Arabidopsis thaliana: one gene and its partners. The protein of the gene in region 2 interacts with the protein of the main gene of each other region in a pairwise test. Each region holds a gene or a part of one and is shown on either strand. Other genes may lie near its edges.

The links. The genes of interacting proteins can lie anywhere in the genome.
Region 1: the proteins of ERL1 (region 2) and AT1G63110 interact in a protein complementation assay, tested with the Arabidopsis thaliana proteins (one large-scale study listed by BioGRID).
Region 3: the proteins of ERL1 (region 2) and AT2G16030 interact in a protein complementation assay, tested with the Arabidopsis thaliana proteins (one large-scale study listed by BioGRID).

The regions. Positions count from the first base shown.
Region 1 is NC_003070.9:23,402,707-23,408,620, reverse strand, and holds AT1G63110 (GPI transamidase subunit PIG-U), read right to left. Parts: upstream 3,934-5,914; 5' UTR 3,752-3,933; coding exon 3,598-3,751; exon of another isoform or gene 3,509-3,597; coding exon 3,461-3,508; intron 3,384-3,460; coding exon 3,323-3,383; intron 3,209-3,322; coding exon 3,176-3,208; intron 2,984-3,175; coding exon 2,859-2,983; intron 2,744-2,858; coding exon 2,609-2,743; intron 2,529-2,608; coding exon 2,452-2,528; intron 2,374-2,451; coding exon 2,117-2,373; intron 1,952-2,116; coding exon 1,895-1,951; intron 1,792-1,894; coding exon 1,623-1,791; intron 1,518-1,622; coding exon 1,460-1,517; intron 1,386-1,459; coding exon 1,300-1,385; intron 1,206-1,299; coding exon 1,149-1,205; intron 957-1,148; coding exon 864-956; 3' UTR 502-863; downstream 1-501. Other genes in the region: AT1G63105 (uncharacterized protein), read right to left, coding at 4,112-4,480.
Region 2 is NC_003076.8:24,994,185-25,002,140, reverse strand, and holds the start of ERL1 (ERECTA-like 1), read right to left. Parts: upstream 6,006-7,956; 5' UTR 5,709-6,005; coding exon 5,621-5,708; intron 5,053-5,620; coding exon 4,914-5,052; intron 4,808-4,913; coding exon 4,736-4,807; intron 4,640-4,735; coding exon 4,568-4,639; intron 4,488-4,567; coding exon 4,416-4,487; intron 4,300-4,415; coding exon 4,228-4,299; intron 4,133-4,227; coding exon 4,061-4,132; intron 3,970-4,060; coding exon 3,898-3,969; intron 3,786-3,897; coding exon 3,714-3,785; intron 3,637-3,713; coding exon 3,568-3,636; intron 3,483-3,567; coding exon 3,411-3,482; intron 3,324-3,410; coding exon 3,252-3,323; intron 3,160-3,251; coding exon 3,088-3,159; intron 2,999-3,087; coding exon 2,927-2,998; intron 2,831-2,926; coding exon 2,759-2,830; intron 2,674-2,758; coding exon 2,602-2,673; intron 2,523-2,601; coding exon 2,451-2,522; intron 2,365-2,450; coding exon 2,293-2,364; intron 2,209-2,292; coding exon 2,137-2,208; intron 2,063-2,136; and 16 more. UniProt on the Arabidopsis thaliana protein: Receptor kinase that regulates inflorescence architecture and organ shape as well as stomatal patterning, including density and clustering, together with ER and ERL2. Redundantly involved with ER in procambial development regulation.
Region 3 is NC_003071.7:6,973,172-6,976,811, forward strand, and holds AT2G16030 (S-adenosyl-L-methionine-dependent methyltransferases superfamily protein), read right to left. Parts: upstream 1,837-3,640; 5' UTR 1,721-1,836; coding exon 1,025-1,720; 3' UTR 502-1,024; downstream 1-501. Other genes in the region: AT2G16018 (uncharacterized protein), read right to left, coding at 1-347; AT2G16019 (uncharacterized protein), read left to right, coding at 1-111; AT2G16020 (uncharacterized protein), read left to right, coding at 185-415; AT2G16040 (hAT dimerization domain-containing protein / transposase-like protein), read left to right, coding at 2,846-3,152, 3,582-3,640.

The DNA of each region.
Region 1 (5,914 bases), on a different chromosome or scaffold from region 2:
CTTCCCATCTGATGAAATCCAAGAAACAAAATTACAAAATCAAGAACCATTAGTTGTCTTAACTTAACAGATGAAAAAGGAGTAGTTTCAAACTGTATTTTGTGACTGAGCTATGAAGGAAAACTGCAGTTTGAAGTTTGAACTTTGCTGAAGTCAGCTCCGATACACAACCGCATTCCATCACCAAACGCCATGAAATTCCATCACCACACGCCATCAATACAATATATAATACCAAGATATGCAATCATGCATACATCAGCTTCATGCAATATATGCATAATTTTTAGGAGATTTCAGATGTCACAAGATCGAATTGAACATATATTTTCAACAGTGTGAAATACAGTTATACGGTTAGGGTCTGATTTTTGTTTTTGGTACCACGTGGGTTTTACAAGTTTTTATGATATTACAAATAAATTAATAATGCATCACACTTCATTTATTGTGAATGGGTGACTTTTAAGAAAACAATGACCAAACACCACCCAATAACCTTCCTGCACTGTGTCATTTAGGCCTTAATGGTGCAGTGGATAAGGATAAAGTACGGGACATAGACAATGCCTTTAATCATCCACCATTCACAAATGATAATACCTTGTATACATGCGATGTAACTTCAAATATAGGGATGATTGTGTGCTTTGCGGATCAAAACAAGAACTTTAAAACCTCTCGGTAAAAAGTACAAATTAATGGTTACTCTAAACGGAAAGGCACAGGAGATTTGTTATTTATATGATGTTCTCAAACAAAGAAAAGCTACTCACACAAATCACATGTTGCCAACTTTAAGCTAAAGACCCAACTCTTTTCTTTACGTGTAACAGAAAAGTGGCGCAATGACCTTCAATGGCTTAGCTCTTGACTTCTCGATGGTTTGAGTTTGATCTCTTCAGCGCCCTGTCATGGTTTAGCATTGCGCTTACGCTCTCAACCACGAAAACGATCTGTAAAGAAAAGCAGAAACCCGTATGCGGGTTTTAGTCAAGATAACCCAAAACTACAACATTCTTTGATCAATAACTGATGATCTCATCATCCTCTGCTTGATATCATCAAATTTTGTACTATATGAGTATCAACTCCCAACTACTGAATAGAATAATGAATTTTGAAATGGATCCAGGCCTATATTTTACCTGAAAGCACGCGTAGCCGATAGCGTTTCCAAAGTAGAAATTTGCATTTCCGGTTCCCTGTCATGAAAAAATCAAAGGTAGTTGTGATCATTAGAACATTTTGTTGCAACTGCTGTGAAGAGTTGGGTTATGGATTTGAGTAGAAGCTTACCCGCCATATCCAGAGATTGTGCATCACAGGGCTGAGGAGAGAGATCCCGAGATATCCACAGAAGAGGAAGAACGAGAACTTCATATCTATGTGAAACAGAAGCAGAGTTTATATGCAAAGGCTAAACAATGCTAAGAGGATGTGAAGTATTTGCTTTTACCTAATAACTCATTGACAAACAATGCCCATAAGCTCAAGTATAACGCCGAATCTCCGACCTATTGAGAGTAAATCAAATGATGAAAGCATTGTTAACATTTATGAATATAATTCCTCAAAGAAGAAAAGATAACTTCAAGTTCACAGTGAATTCAACTACTTACTGAAGGATAAGATTTAAGAATCGAGGAGATCGCTAAGTATATGAAAGCCAGGAAACATGGCCGATGTTTCAACCTTATGGCTAAGGGCAGTAACATGAACAGAATATTTACGTGTAAAACTATCAGAAAAAAGTTTCTGAAGAAGTCGAATACTTCTGCAAAGAAGTACCTGAAAACGAGATTTAAAACGAACAGTAAATAGTCTTTTCATAAAAGAAGGGATCCCTTATTCATCACCCAATGATATCACCATATTAATTTATTTTACTTACCAAAAGACTCCAATGTTTGGTGAAAGATCTTCAATACTAAGAATGAAACCATACGTCCTACAATAGGAGGCAAAGACAAACAAACATCAAATCGCCTAAACACTACGTTGCAAGTTCTTAATAAATAATTATATGATTTGGAATATAAGTTATAGATATAATATGGCTAACGGAAACTAATCCTATAGCGGTTATGAATAAGATTTCTAAGTTAGAGGCTACCTCTTGAACATCTCCTCAAGCCCACCATATTTATTCAGTGATAAGGCACATAAAATCAACACATAGAGTGACCACAGAAGTACCCAGAACAAGAAGTGTGCGACTGTTTTCCATAAGAAAGGAAGGTGCGTAGTCTGTTTCAACTTGGCTTGTTTAGAAACAGTAGAGGTTGAACTCTCCTCATTTTCTACACTTCTGGTCTGAAGGAACAATTTTATAGGAGGAGCATCCAAACCATATCCCAATAGAAAGATTATCTGTGGGAAATGCACGAGCAGTTAGAATTTGTTTAATTTGAGAAACGTGAAAAACATAAAATAAGAAATGATACATACTGGAATTGTCAGAGTAGCAGGATAAAGAGATAAATGTGTGGCAATGACTAAGCCAAATGCTGCCAGAGGAACTCGTCCTGCATGGGTAGAAAACATCAGTTATAAAATTTCAAGAAACTATTGAACAAACAATATGCAAGTATCATCATCTTCTTACGTGTAACTGCTCCAAAAAGCGCCAATATGACAGCCAGGTTTTCGATGGGAGAAGTTGATAAGCCCACACAAGAAACTATCGTGAAAGGATTCCACAAATACACAAGAGCAGCAATATCACCACAAGGTAGGATCACTGAGGAGACAACGAAAAAGGAGAGATCAATATTTGCCTTCAAGTAAATAGTTACAAGAAAAGAGTAGAAATAAGATAGATGATACACAAAATTCAACAACTGACTTCAATCTACCTTTATCCCTTGATGACTTAAGAAAACCAAGTAGTCTCGCATTCAGTCCATAAGCCATCTGGAGTTTCTGACCAATAGCTCGAAGAAGCATTGCACTTAATATATCTGCAATAACAAAAACCAAGCTGTATCCAAGAGAATGTTGGTAGCAACGACATGACTATAAAGCTCTTGATGAATAGTAAATCATTCAAAGATCATCTCTTTTCCAAATTCACATCTCACAATCTAATCCTACCTAAGATTTTAAGCTAGCTCAAATCTGAGAAGAAAGAAAAAACATGTGATCACAGAAATGAAGGGACACTGAAAAGTACCTGCACAAGAGGTGACTTGGTTGCCCTTTAATCCTGCAAACACACAAATTGTCTTCCAATAAAACTCAAGTGGGAAAAAATCATGTTTTCATATGATTCAAGCTCAATAAATCACAAATCCTAATATCAAAATCGATTAGTCACTACCTTTGAACTGTGAGAGGTCCAAGAACCGAGAGCAGCAATGGTGAGCCATGATACATAGATCCTGCTCAAATATGTACAACTTCAGCTTCTAATAGCCTAAGAATCCAAATTTACAGAGGATCAAATCTTAAGATAGACCTGCATATGGTGACATCGATGCCTGCTTCAACCAATAACCTTCAGCAACTGAAAATGTTCATACAAAACGAAGAAATGTGAGCTGAATTCGAGATCTTAGAGAGCTAATGAGGGAGTGAGAAAGAGAGAGGAGATACGGCGGCGAATGCTGGTGAGAGGGGTAGAGACCTCCGGACGGGAAGAGAGATTGAGATTTCCCGGGAAGGAGATCAAGATCAATCGGAAAGCAATGGAAGATAAAGCCCAAATCCAGAATCGGCTTAGCTGCTTCATTTTCTGCTCCTCCGCCATTTCTCCGTCGTCTTTTCTTCTTCTCTCTCTCCGGCGAGTGAAGAGAGACGACTCAGATGAAACGACGACGTATTTGATATGATCTTGTTAAGGTTTGGTTCCGGTTTGATTTTTTCGGTTTATGATCCATTTATAATTCGGTTTGATTAATGTAACTCTATATCGGTTCGGTTCGGTTTTTGTTTGATGCATTTCGGTTTCGTGTTTGTGTGATAAACATTTTTCCAATGTAAAATATCATATGAAGAATAATCATATATTTACTTTTTTATCTTGTTGTAATTTTGAAGAGAACACTAAATACATATATTATGCTTCGTTAAATACTTATGTGCTTATTAACTTTTTATGTTTACTTAATTACGTTGGTACGTTGTGTGAACTGCTCTCTCCTGCTTCGTTCTTTGCTTTCTTCTTTACTTCCTCTTTCCTTGCTTCTTCTTCTTCCTTTATTGCTTCATCTCTAGCTTTCTTCCTTTCCTTTGCATCAACAACCGCTTTTCGCATTATGTCTAGGGCAGTTTTTGATTTCTCAAAGACATCATCCCCCATCTTGTCTACCTCGTCAAGATCTCGAAGAAAATTAGGATCTGAATTTGTACTTCGTATAACTCCCACGCGATATGCAACATGTTTAGCTGTGTTGATGATTTCCTCCATTTGTGAAAGGATCGGGTTTGTCACGGCTTTAAACGCTTCGTCTCCCAAATCTGTGTTAGTGGCTTTCATGTAAGCTGTATAGAAATAGTCTACATTCGTCCTTGCTTTCTTGGCTTTGGTGTTTATCTCTGTATAAATAGATTGCATCTTAAGAACCAAAAACAAAAAAGAGTTATTGAGTTTTTTATATAATACGAATAAGAGCTAGCTAGAGAGAATTGTGATGATGCACATCCTATATATATACACACGTTTAACAACTTGATTAGCAAGTTCAATAACTATCGCAAAAGTGCTTTATTCGCTCATAAGTCATAATCAACCTCCCAATTTTTTTTTAACAAAGTATAGTTTATGTGTACACGCTTAATTAAGCCACCCTCCCAAGCTTAGTGTTTTTTTCTTACTTTTTATTCATCAAACTCAAAGGAAATGAATGATCTAATTCAAAACTAATTATACAAATGGAATTCCACAATGCACAATGAATGGTTAACGTGGGAGGGAATTATGTACCTTTATATCGTTTAAGAACAATCCTTTTAAGATACAATTATTTTCTTATTTGCATTTGGTTTAGCTTTCATGCAAAGTTTATTTTCTTTTTTTGGATAACGACTTTTATGCAAAGTTCTCTATTAATATAGCTCTTATCCTGTTATATCATCTGTATATTGTAGCATGATTTCTTACAGAGCACATGATAACAATCCAAAATAAATATATGTGTATATTTGTGCTAAGTGTATCTATATATAATTATATATTATTCATTAATATATATGTTAATATCTACTTTTATGTGTATAGTTTAGATTTTGTACATAGATTCAGATTTGATTTTTAGTCTAGTGATTAACTAGATTATGTTCATACTATTTTAGTGTTTCCTAGAAAATCATTACAACCCAAATACTTATCTAAACATCTTAAGATAGAGTTTTAAGATGTTAAACCTAAAAGGTCCTAGTGTTAATGAATGAAAAATATCAATTATTAGGGAAAAGATACTAGAAATTATATACATCTTGAATTAATCATTACCATTAGATTAAAATGTATTTCTAAATAGTTTCCAAATATTTACCCTATTTCTTATTCTTATTTATCAGTAAAATTAGACAACATTTTGATACAAAAAGAAACACATTTTGCCCATCTTTATTAATAGGCTTATTAAAAAAAGGTTTATTAAAAAGCCCATTATATTTGCTAGTAAAGCCCATTAGTTTTGAAATTTTGTAAGCTCTTTATGTTTGTGAAATCTTGCTTATTTGTTTCATAGCTATTCTTTGGTTGCGAATTTTGTTGAACCTTAACCTAGTGTGGAAGCAATGCCGGAACCTCTAATTTTTTGTTAACGCAATTCAAGAAACTCTAGGAAGGCCAGAAACTCTAATTTCTTGTGAATGCAATTTTACACAAGTTTCAATAAAAAAAAATTGATGCTTAGTTTCGATTTCTGGTATGTTCCATGAATATTGGGTTTTTTTTAGACGTTAT
Region 2 (7,956 bases):
AATCTTTCTCTTATATGCTACTTTTGGAGATGACTTCACGGAACTGAACAAACCATTGAGATGCTTCTGCATCAGGATTCCTAACTTCATTCTCTTGCTGCAGCTTTTTGGTTGAGTGATCAAGAGAAGGTAGCTTCTTTGCTACTTGCAGAGATGGGACAAGAGAGAGCAGAACCCTAGAGACTTCAAGCATTGTGGGTCTCTCTAAAGGGTTTCGCTTTGTGCATAAGAGAGCCAGCTGAAATGTCTTCCTGATATGTCCCAAGTCCATACAAGTCACAGTAACCTCTGGATCAACTGCTTCCATCACAGTATTATCATCAGCCTTTGACAATATCTGCAACATAAAAAAAAAAAACGTTAACTCTTTTAAGGTTCAAAGATCATAATCTATAGTGATTCTTGATTCATATACCAGTTGATGCAAGTTAGCTTCGTTATCCACTGCTTTCTTCCCAGTGAGAAGCTCAAGAAGAACAATACCGAAGCTGTATATATCGGATTTCTCATTGATTCGTGAAGTACGAGCATACTCTGGGTCTATATAACCAATTGTTCCCAAAACATAAGTCGAGGCATGGGTTTTGCTAGCTGGTATGCTCTTAGCAATCCCGAAATCAGATAAATGTGCTTCGAAATTCTCATCAAGAAGTATGTTCGATGACTTGATGTCACGGTGAATGATTCGAGGAGTACAATCGTGGTGAAGATAGGCTAGTCCTTGTGCAGCTCCAACCGCTATCTTCAACCTTGTCTCCCAATCAAGCTTCACTTTCTTCAATGACCCTTTTCAAGAAAATAAAAATCAAAACATTTTTACCGTTTATCTGCAAATCAATCTTTCACAAATTGAACCAAAAAAAGTTAGAAGAACTTACCATGAAGAAGGTCCCAAAGTGATCCATTTTCCATGTAGTCATAGAAAAGAAGGTTGCCAGTAGGAGACAAGGCATATCCATGCAAGCTGACTATGTTTCTGTGCCTAATGCTCCCAATGGTCTCAAGTTCTGTCTCAAATTCCCGCAAGTTATGCGGATACTGATTGTAGAGTCGCTTAATGGCAATAGGTCGGGAACTTTTTAATGCACATTTGTATACCGTGCTAGAAGCACCATATCCAATTATAAACTTTTCGTTAAGATTCTCAGTCACTCTCATGATATCATCAAATGTATGAATTGCCATGTCCATGTGGAGAATCACTAGCTTGGTTAACCCTGAGAATCGGTAAAGATTGATATTGTCATATAAGAACAGAATATGAGTTATGAAGAAGTATGAAGGCATCATCATTACCTTCAGCTTGTTTTGAGGAGCCTTGTAGAATCTTCTTCTGCTGCATTGATTTGTAAACTGCAAGGAAAATCATACATAGGAGAGTGATGACGCCAAGAACAATGCAGATCAAAGCACCTCTGGAGAATACTGAAAAGAACAAGAAAAGCAAGCTCAAATAAACAAGAAAAAACATCTATTGAAGAAAATGCTTAATGGATAAATCTAGTAGATACCTCGAGATTTCGGTAAAGGACCACAAATAGATCCAACCCAGTTTCCACAAAGATATGGATTTCCAACAAAGCTATACAGAGGTTATGAATTTAGTTTTACAATGAAAGCTTATGCGTATTGATCATAATGACAGACTACTGAGAGAAGCTTCATACCTGGCTGGAGCAAAACGTGAGAAGTTTTTCATTGGTGGGACTATCCCGGAGAGATTGTTGAAGGAGACATTCCTAAAACGTTTTCGAAGAAAGAAGAAGAAAATGTTGGATTCACAAATCTTCCAAAGGGCTAATATTGCTCATAAGCAAGTATCTCTTGCAGAAGAACTTACAGATTGACAAGAGTGAAGCAGTTCGTAAGCTGATCTGGAATTTTCCCATGAAGCTTGTTGTTGTTCAATATTCTGTACATAAACATAAAGATCAAACCATACATCTATTTTGTATATAATACAAATGATAAGATCATATTATTAACTTACAAAGAGTTTAAATTCTGCAATTGGCCAAGTTCAGTTGGAATAACTCCGGAGAGCAGATTGAATGATACATCACTACAAGTAAAACAGATAAGTCAGAAAAAAAATATGATTTTGATATAACCAAAAGAAGCAACTATAAGCTTTACATCATCTGAATGCTTCGAAGGTTCCCAAACTCTGCAGGTAATTGTCCACTAAGATGGTTTCTGCTAAGATTTCTGTTTAATGAAGCAAAAGATTAAAAGTTAACAAACACAAGAAAAACATTTACAAATTTACAACTTTAAGTGTAAAAGACTTACAATATGAGAAGGTGTTCAAGATCGCCAAGCGTTAATGGTATAGACCCTGAGAAGTTATTGCCAGACAGATCTCTGGAAACAAAAACATATGATGAGTTTGCAGCAAATTCAAACTGAAACATAAAACCAAACGATGTAACAAAGTTGAGAAGACATACAGTTTGTCAAGATTGATTATATGTCCAAGCTCAACTGGTATTTTTCCCTTGAAATTGTTCGACGAAAGATTCCTGCATCCAAAAGGATTCAACAGTCACTATAATGTTTAGAGGGAAGCAATGTTACAGCATTGTATTGAATGAAACTCACAGATAAGTCAAGCTCCCGAGATTGCGAAACGCCAGTGGAATAGATCCACTCAAGAGGTTCCCATGAACATTGCTGAATTCAAGTAGAGCAGCAGAATTTAGGTTTGTGAATAAGAAGAGTAAAGCATGAATTCAAAATGAACTATCTTATAGCTTACAATTGATTCAAGGCTGCACATGAACTAATGTTGGATGGTATGGGCCCTACTAAACGGTTGTTGGCAAGATTCCTTTCATGTCAAAAAATGGATCAGTAAAAACAAGGATCAAATGTAATGCTTCAACAGCTAAAGTGAAAAACTTTAGAGCAAGGAAAAGAAACTCACAGTTCAAACAATTGCTCCAGCTTTCCAAGCTCAGGTGGAATAGTTCCCACTAGTTTATTGTCGTTTAGCTGCCTTCAAAATCGGTAAAAGAAAAGCAAAATAGATAAGTATATGGAATGCGAAAGCTATGTAAACAGATTTGAAGTTTAAAACAAGCTTACAAATAGCTGAGACGTGACATATTCCCAAGCTCAGAGGGGATTGGACCAGTGAGCATATTGCCATGGAGATACCTATTTCAACAAAAAAAAAAGGTATCAATGCATATGCCAAGAGCTGATTAGCTGAACATATGAGATACTACAGTTATACAAAAAAGACTCACAACTTTCCGGTAAATGAGAGATTGCCAAGTATCGGTGGGATAGGACCAACAAGCTCATTGTCACTCAAATCCCTGTGAATTGAATAGGATTCACAAAGTCAGACGAGCCAAATTCAAGAATGTACTTTGTCGTTACTTTTCCATATGAATTGAACTTACAAAACAGCAAGAGCCTGCATTAGACCAATAACTTCTGGAATTCTACCCGTCAATCTGTTTCCTTGAAGTGACCTTCAAAAAGTAATAATACACAATTCAATAACCGCATGTTAACAATTTACTGATGAAACTAAGGTAAAAGAGGCTCAATACTCACAGAGTAGCAACTTGGAGGAAGCCGATATTGTAAGGAATCTCTCCTGTTATCTGATTATAAGATATGTCCCTGTAATATCAAAAGGTATGAGTCCAAAATTCACTCCTATAGTGGAAGTCTAATGTTTAATTTAAGATGGCACATACAGGATTTGAAAGCTTGTGCAATTTCCGATGCTCTCCGGGATGGTTCCAGTTAGATTATTTCCTCTCACATCACTTCCAACAACAAAACACAAGTTAAAAAATATAACTCAAGACTTGAATGAATCAAAGAAGGACCAGGATCTATACAAGACTCAAAAGATGGCAGAGCGTTGGATCCACTTACAAGTACCACAAACCGGTTAGCTGACACATATCAGAAGATAACGTTCCAGTCAACATATTCCCTCGTAATCCACTGCAGAAAGAAAGTATTAGAAGGAGAAAATTAACTTCTTCTATGGTGTAGACTATATTGAGATCAGAGAAAATGACTCTGACGAACTTACAGATACTGCAAAACTTCATTCCAGTAAAGCAATCTCGATATCTCACCCGTTAGATGATTGCCAGCAAGATCACTGCAACATCATGATTGGAAAAAAGAAAATGAGTAAGTTCAAAATCTATTCCCAAATTTTGATTCATGAGTAAATGATGTAACTAAAGAACTCACAGTCTCTTAAGGTTTGGAATCTGGGTTAAGGTTGCTGGTACAGGACCTGTGAGCTGATTGTTCTTCAGATTCCTGATACATCCACAAGTTCAAAGGTTCACAAAAATCCACTCGAAAAAAAAAAAGAACAAGTAGACAAAATTTGAACTTTGAATCGGAAAAACAAAATGTTGAAGTATAACACATACAGAGTTTCAAGCTGCTTGAGTTTAGAGATTGAGAAAGGTATGTCTCCATATAACAGATTCTCGGACAAATCCCTGTACAACAGAGGATATGGACGTCAAAACTAAAGACATGAAAATTGAAAACTCAAAAAAACAAGTTTAATAAGACTTACAGATAAACAAGAGAAGCACAGTTTCCAATCTCATCTGGAATTTGACCTGCTAGTTTATTACCTTGCAAGTCTCTGCAATTGGAAAAAGCCTTTATGAACAAAAGCTACAACATTTCAAAGTTCAAACATGCAAATCAACAGAGAAAGAAAGGGAAAAAAAACCATTACATTGATTGCAAATTCCGTAGGTCTCCAATAGCTGGAGATATCTCCCCTCCAAGATTCAGACTGGACAAATTCCTTCACAAAGTAAAAATAGAAAAAAAGCAGAATATTACAAGACCACAAAAGAGAGACATTTTTCAACAACACAAGAATTATTATTGAACTCAAATAAGATTCTTACAGAGAGACAACGGAGTAGCTAACGTTGTCGCAGAAAACACCTCGCCAAGAACACAAGTCACTGTTGTGAACATCGTCCCAATCCAAAAGCATATTCACTAAGTTGCTGAAAGAGCCTTTTATCGCCATCAGAGCTTTCCCTGTGGGTTTTCAAAATTCATAAACAGACTCAACTAGGATTAGTAATAAATCATTTGAAACGCGGAACATCAGTCACATAGTTAAATATACATAAACCAAAACTAAGGAATTTTTGTAAATTTCATGTCCTTTCTCTCCAGGACACTAGGGATTAAGCTTCGTTTTTTTCTCGGGAAACAGCTTGAAAAAAACACAAACTTTCCATGGTACAGGAACAGGCATTCTCTGTGTACTAATCATGATCAAATTTCTTGGGAAATGGAGAAAAGATTGCATCTTTATATGCATTTGATGAAGAACAAGCCAGAGCTAAGTATTGGGTATGAAAAAGCTTTCAACTTTAACTCTCTTTTTATGGGGAAACCAAATGTTTGACATAAACCAAAGATTATATGTCATGATAACTTCTAACACAGACGATTTTAGATTCAAACTTTCAGAAAAAATCAGAGAATGGGTTTAAGGAGATATACCTAACTAAACCCTAATTTTTGAAGCACATAATCAAAATTTTAAACAGAGATCACAAGAAAAAAGACAAAAACAAAAGAGTTAGAAGAAACAAACCTTCGTTGTTCATAGCCGAAGCAACACCAAAAACCATAAAACCCACCATTGCTAAAGATAAAACCATTCGCTGCATCTTCTCCTTCATTTTTTTCTTCTTATTCTTCTTTCCTTTTGGGGTAATAAGCCAAGAAGCTCGTTGAAGTTTTGATTCAATAACAACAAAGCAGAGGAAACCAAAACACAAAAGAACGAAACTTCAGGCTTGTTCTGCCATTGTTGCAGAGAGAAAAGGGTACCAAAACAGGTGATTAGCGTGAACTGCAAGAAATGCAGAGCCAGAGATGTTAAAGAAGAGAGAGACAGAGAAATGGGGAGAGAGAGATAATGTACTAGAGCCCTATATAACTAGCCATGAAAGAGAATACTAAGACCACGACAAATCTGTCAGAGTGTGAGAGTATATATGTATGCAATTATATACACACACTTATATCATTTACTACTTAAAACTCTGATCGAACCATTAACTATGATAATAATGTCACGTTAAAACATTAGCCACTTCTAATTAGTATATGATCTTCACTCTCACACGCATTAACATTTTTAGTAAACGGAGATAAGTAACGGCGTTAGGAATTAAGAAAGGTTGATTTTGACGGTGACATGACCCGCCGTTTGTTGTAGACGCCGCTTTCCAATGCATGGTAATATTCCACTGTGTAAAAACCTCGGTCACGCGCTAGATTTGTAGCGCGTGTTTGATCCAACGGTGGATGATTCGAGTAAACAGGGTTAAGAGGATGGGAAGCGATGTAGAGAAACTGAACTATGCTTTTCCTTGTGAAAGTTAGTTAATGCTTTGATAGTGATTGGGGACACCGGTTGGACCGGTTTGGTTTTGTGGTTATACGTTTTTCGACCGTTAGTTTTTTTTAGCCAATATGATTGGTTTTCTTTTATGTTGATGTGAATTTTTTACTATCTTATAGTTATAGTTATAGAGACCATGTCACATGTTGGTTTTTTATGGATTGATTTCACAATTAAAGCTGTATGAGTGGGACGAAAAAAATTGGTGGAATTGTACCTTGCGATAAATACAAATGAGAGTCATGTTTATATATACCATAGTTTATATTATATGTGACAAAAGCTCCGAGGCTCTAGGATAACTCTAATCGTTCGAGATTAAGCCAATATTCTATCTTGTTCTTCCAATAATGTTTGATTTAATTGTGTGTACTGTGTTATATGGAAATGTATCGGTAAATAGTTTAGTATAAGGATTTGGTTTTGTTAGATTAAATTGGTCCGACCGTATCTTTATTTTGCATAGTTTTGGATCTTTAGGTCTCCAGAGTCCTTTTTGTTGTACAGTCGTACTATACGGTCTAAACCGCCCTATCGGTCAAACTTTTGGGGAAGACTAAAATATACAAAAATTATGTTGTTTACATAGAAATGGTTTTGATTAATGTAATTGTTTATAGTTGAGGAACCTTCTATTCTTGAAAGTTAAAATACTTCGAAACGATTCAAGAATATAACCCAAGGGGAAAAAATGCAAGTCTTAATAGTACTTCAATCTATTTTGAAGTTTACTCAACGTTTATATGTTTACCAATAACTAATCATCATCATATTGGTTTTATTCGTTCTAATAAATGTTGGAGGAATTTTGTATCCACGAGAACCAAAATTAATAAAAGAATAGAGTAGGTTCAGCTGTATGCGTCTCTAGTACTTTCTATAGACTAGTAAATAGATGCATGGGTTCAGCTATATGACCTATGTGAGAATTATGACCACACTTGAACATTTGATCTGTTATATATTTTTCAATTCCGGCTTTGCAATATTCAATCGGTATTCATAGTAACCTTATTATTCAACTACGGTTTTGTCAGTTGAGTAATCGTTTTAAGTAATTTATTTACCTAATAATCAGAGTTTATACTTATTAATAAAGCTCGTAGGCTTCTTCCACTATATATATAAATGTTACATGCCTCTATATCGTGGGCATAACCTTGTTGATGTAATGAAGTATGAACATTTTAGGCATTTTGTTTTCTACTTTTACAAAAATGGTAAATTGCCCAAGCCTTTGTGGTCTAATGGCAGAAGGAAGCTTTAGTGAAGGGTGAAATTCCCAAACGTAAGTTCTATTTTCCTTGAAAACAAAATCACATTTGTTACAAAAAAAAAAAAAAAAAAAAAAAAAAAAAAAAAAATCACATTTGTTTGGGAAATATGTGAGTTGGGCGTAGATTTACTTGATAGTCAGAAATACAAGCGGTCTGACTATCCCTAGCATTAATCTCTGTAGCACCTCGGTGCATTTCTACCGATACTAACCAGATTAGCCGATAGGATATATAAAAAAAAAG
Region 3 (3,640 bases), on a different chromosome or scaffold from region 2:
ATGAAAAAATCAGTGATCGAAGAGGTCGGTGACGGAGATTCAGATATGGCGGAGGAGATATGGAGAATGAGCGAGACCAAATCTGGGAGGGAAGAGGAGCTCAACGACTGAGCATAAGAATCAGCAAAAGTGAAGCAGATCTGAGAATCTGGTGGATCCGGTGGTTCCGGTGGAGTCGGCGGAGATGGAGGCTCTGGTGGTGGTGCACAAGGTGGCCTCAGAAGGAGGAAGGCGACCGAAGACGACGGTAAGCGACGAGAGTGGCTCGCATTCGAGAGAAAAAGGAAAGTCATTTCAAGTGAAAGACTCGCCGGAAAACAATTACGCCACCGGAAAAGTAGATTCATTGGAGAGATCTCACTTTAGTAGTAGCTACAATCAGGAACGCAGGCAGTCAGAGGAGCAACGCCGGTGAAGAGAACTAATCACGAACAAGGCTTGCGGCTACCTTGGTTATCTTGCTTGAGAGAAAATTTTTTTTTTTTTTTTTTTTTTTTTTTAGTAAGAGCCTTTTATTCACCAATAAGAATTTTGTTCTTTCTAAGTATACAAAATGACTAAAGAGTATTTTACTTAACTCACAAATAGTACACAGGAGAGCTCTAACAGATTGAAACGTGAACCTCACCTGGAAAGAAAGTACTTTCTTTCATCACACACTAAAGTCTTCAAAAGCTGTTGAAAGTTCTTTACTTGTTTCAAAAGCGACCAAGGTTCCTAAGAATTGTTTAGCTCAGAGACCAACTTCCAAAAAAAAAGATATTAACCTGTAGAAAGCTTTTGTTCTGGATCTTGAACTCGCAACAAACATCGCAGCTTCCCTCAACAAAACATTGCTTTAGGATCCAGAACAAATATGGTCATGGTCTTTGAACAATGTTACCACATAATCTGTTAAATCTCCTGCTTTTCAAACATGTAAGTGAATTTCAACAGAAACAAATCTAGCTCCACTCTATGAATATTGAAGCAGTTTTCTGAGAATCCGGAAAGGGCCTATAAATCAAAAGAGAAATAAAACACCTCAGGTAGGAGAGTCTTGAACTTTGAATAGTATACTAGTCTTTTTGGATCCTTCTAAGGTTACATTAGCAACATCAACGACCTTGGAGTTATGAAAAAGCCTAGCAATGTCTCTTACATCATCTCCACCACATTCATCAACCGAAACCACACAAAATCCGCCACGTCTCACCGTCCTCTCCATCTCCTCCACAAACTGCCACGGAAACAGAGCTTCAGCTAGATGTGCAGTGAAGGCAAAATCAAAGACACCGTCGAAAAACGGAAGGTTATGAGGATCAGCTCTTTTCACAAGAGGAATCGAATCAACCAATTCAACTGCGGTAACATCAGATAATCCGATCTGAGAAAGAGCCATCAGAGCATGGCCTGCTCCGGCGGAGAGACAGAGAGCTTTGGTGTGATTTTGAATGAATCCGAGATCGCGAAATCGGAGGAAGTAGGTAGAGAAGGAGTATAGACGAGATTTCCAAGCTCCAGAGGACCAGATTCGAGCGTTCTTCTTTGGGAGAGGAAGATGCTGACGAGGCGATGAATCGCATGTAGATCTCGGGAAATGCGTATGAGGTTTCGATGGAGCTTCTGGAGAAATACAAGTTTTTGGTGTCTGGAGAATCATAATTACCATTAATACTGTTCCGATGCTTAAGAACACTATTGATACTCTCTTCAGCATCTTCTCGACGTTTCTCTCCATCGTCGCCGATCAAAACTCCGATCAAAATATCTATGTTTATATAACATCAATAATAAAAACACAATCACCTAACAAACGCCGTTGATTGTTACCAAAACTCTAAATAATCTATTTTTGGAACGAAATTCAAATATTCATATAAGATTAGCGGATCGAATTTCTCTCTATTTCCTCAATTTTCCACAAATCTATGTCGATTTAGTATAATTAATCGAAACATGGTCAACTAACAAACGCTGCGAATTGTTATCAAAACTCGAATCCATCTATTTTTGGAATTAAAATTCAAATATTCCTCAAAAATTAGCAAATCAAATTTCTCTCAGTTCCTCAATTTTTACACAAATCTATGTCTATTTAGCATCAATAATTAAAACACAATCAACTAACAAACACCGCCGATTGTTACCAAAACTCGAATCCATCTATTTTTAAAAACAAAATTCAAATATTCCTCAAAAATTAGCGGATCGAATTTCTCTCTAATTCCTCATTTTGGCACAAATCTATGTATATTTAGCATCAATAATCGAAACACATTCAACTAACAAACGCTGCAGATCTAATCCATCTATTTTTAGAATCGAAATTCAAATCTTCCTCAAAAATTAGCGGATCAAATTTCTCTCTTGTTCCTCAATTTTCGCACAAATCTATGTCTATATAGCATCAATAATCAAAATACAATCAGCTAACAAATGCGCTGCTTTGTCACCAAAACTCGAATTCACTTATTTTTAGAATCAAAATTCAAATATTCCTCAAAAATCAGCGGATCGAATTTCTCTCTAATTATTCGATCAAGAAACAAATCCTACATTGTTAGCAAGTAGTGGGTATAATGACTGGAAAAATGCTGCGCAAAGGCTGAAAAGACATGAAACAACTCATCGTCATATTATTTCCATGACTCATTGGATGGAGCTAGAAGTGAGATTACAAAAGAGTAAAACAATTGATAACCATATGGAATAGGCAATTAAGAAGGAGAAAAAACATTGGAGAGATGTATTGGTGAGAATAATTGCAGTGGTAAAGACTCTAGCTAAACAAAATTTAGCATTTTGTGGAACTAAAGAGAATGTTGATGATCCAAATAGTGGAAATATTTTGGCATTTATTAGAATGATTGGAGGTTTTAATTCGGATATGAAGGAACACATTCGGCGGGCTAATAAAGGTGAAATTCATTGCCATTTTCCCAGTCATAAGAGTCAGAATGAATTGACAGAATTACTTGCTAATGATACCAAGATGATGATCTTAAAGAAGATTAAAGATGCGAAGTATTTTTCAGTCATTCTTGATTCCATTCCGGATGTTAGTCGTAAAGAACAAATGACCTTCTTAATTCGATGTGTGGATGTTTCAACGTGTTCACCTAAGATTGAGGAGTTCTTCTTGACGTTTCTACACATCAAAGATAAGAGGGGTGAGGGGCTTTTTAAGACTCTTCAAGATGCATTGATTGATCTTAAGTTGAATATTGATGATGTAAGATGACAAGCATACGACAACTGACAAAATATGAAGAGAAAACATAAAGGAGTTCAGAAAAGGTTGCTTGATATAAATCCAAGAGCATTTTACACTCCATGTGGATGCCATGGTCTTAACCTTGCACTTTGTGATATGGCTTCATCATCCAAGAAAGCTGTTTCTTTTTTTGGAATTGTTCAGCGAATACATTGTCTGTTTGAAGCTTCAACCAACAATTGGGAAGTGTTTAGAGAAACAGTGAATGGTATTACACTTAAACCGTTGTCTCAAACGCGTTGGGAAAGCCGCATTGATAGTCTTAAACCAATAAGATATTAAGCTTCAAAGATACAGATACAAGATGCACTTTTTTATTTGGCAGAATACACTGATAATCCAGGACACCGGAGTGATGTTGAGTCTCTTACAGAGAGTGAAACA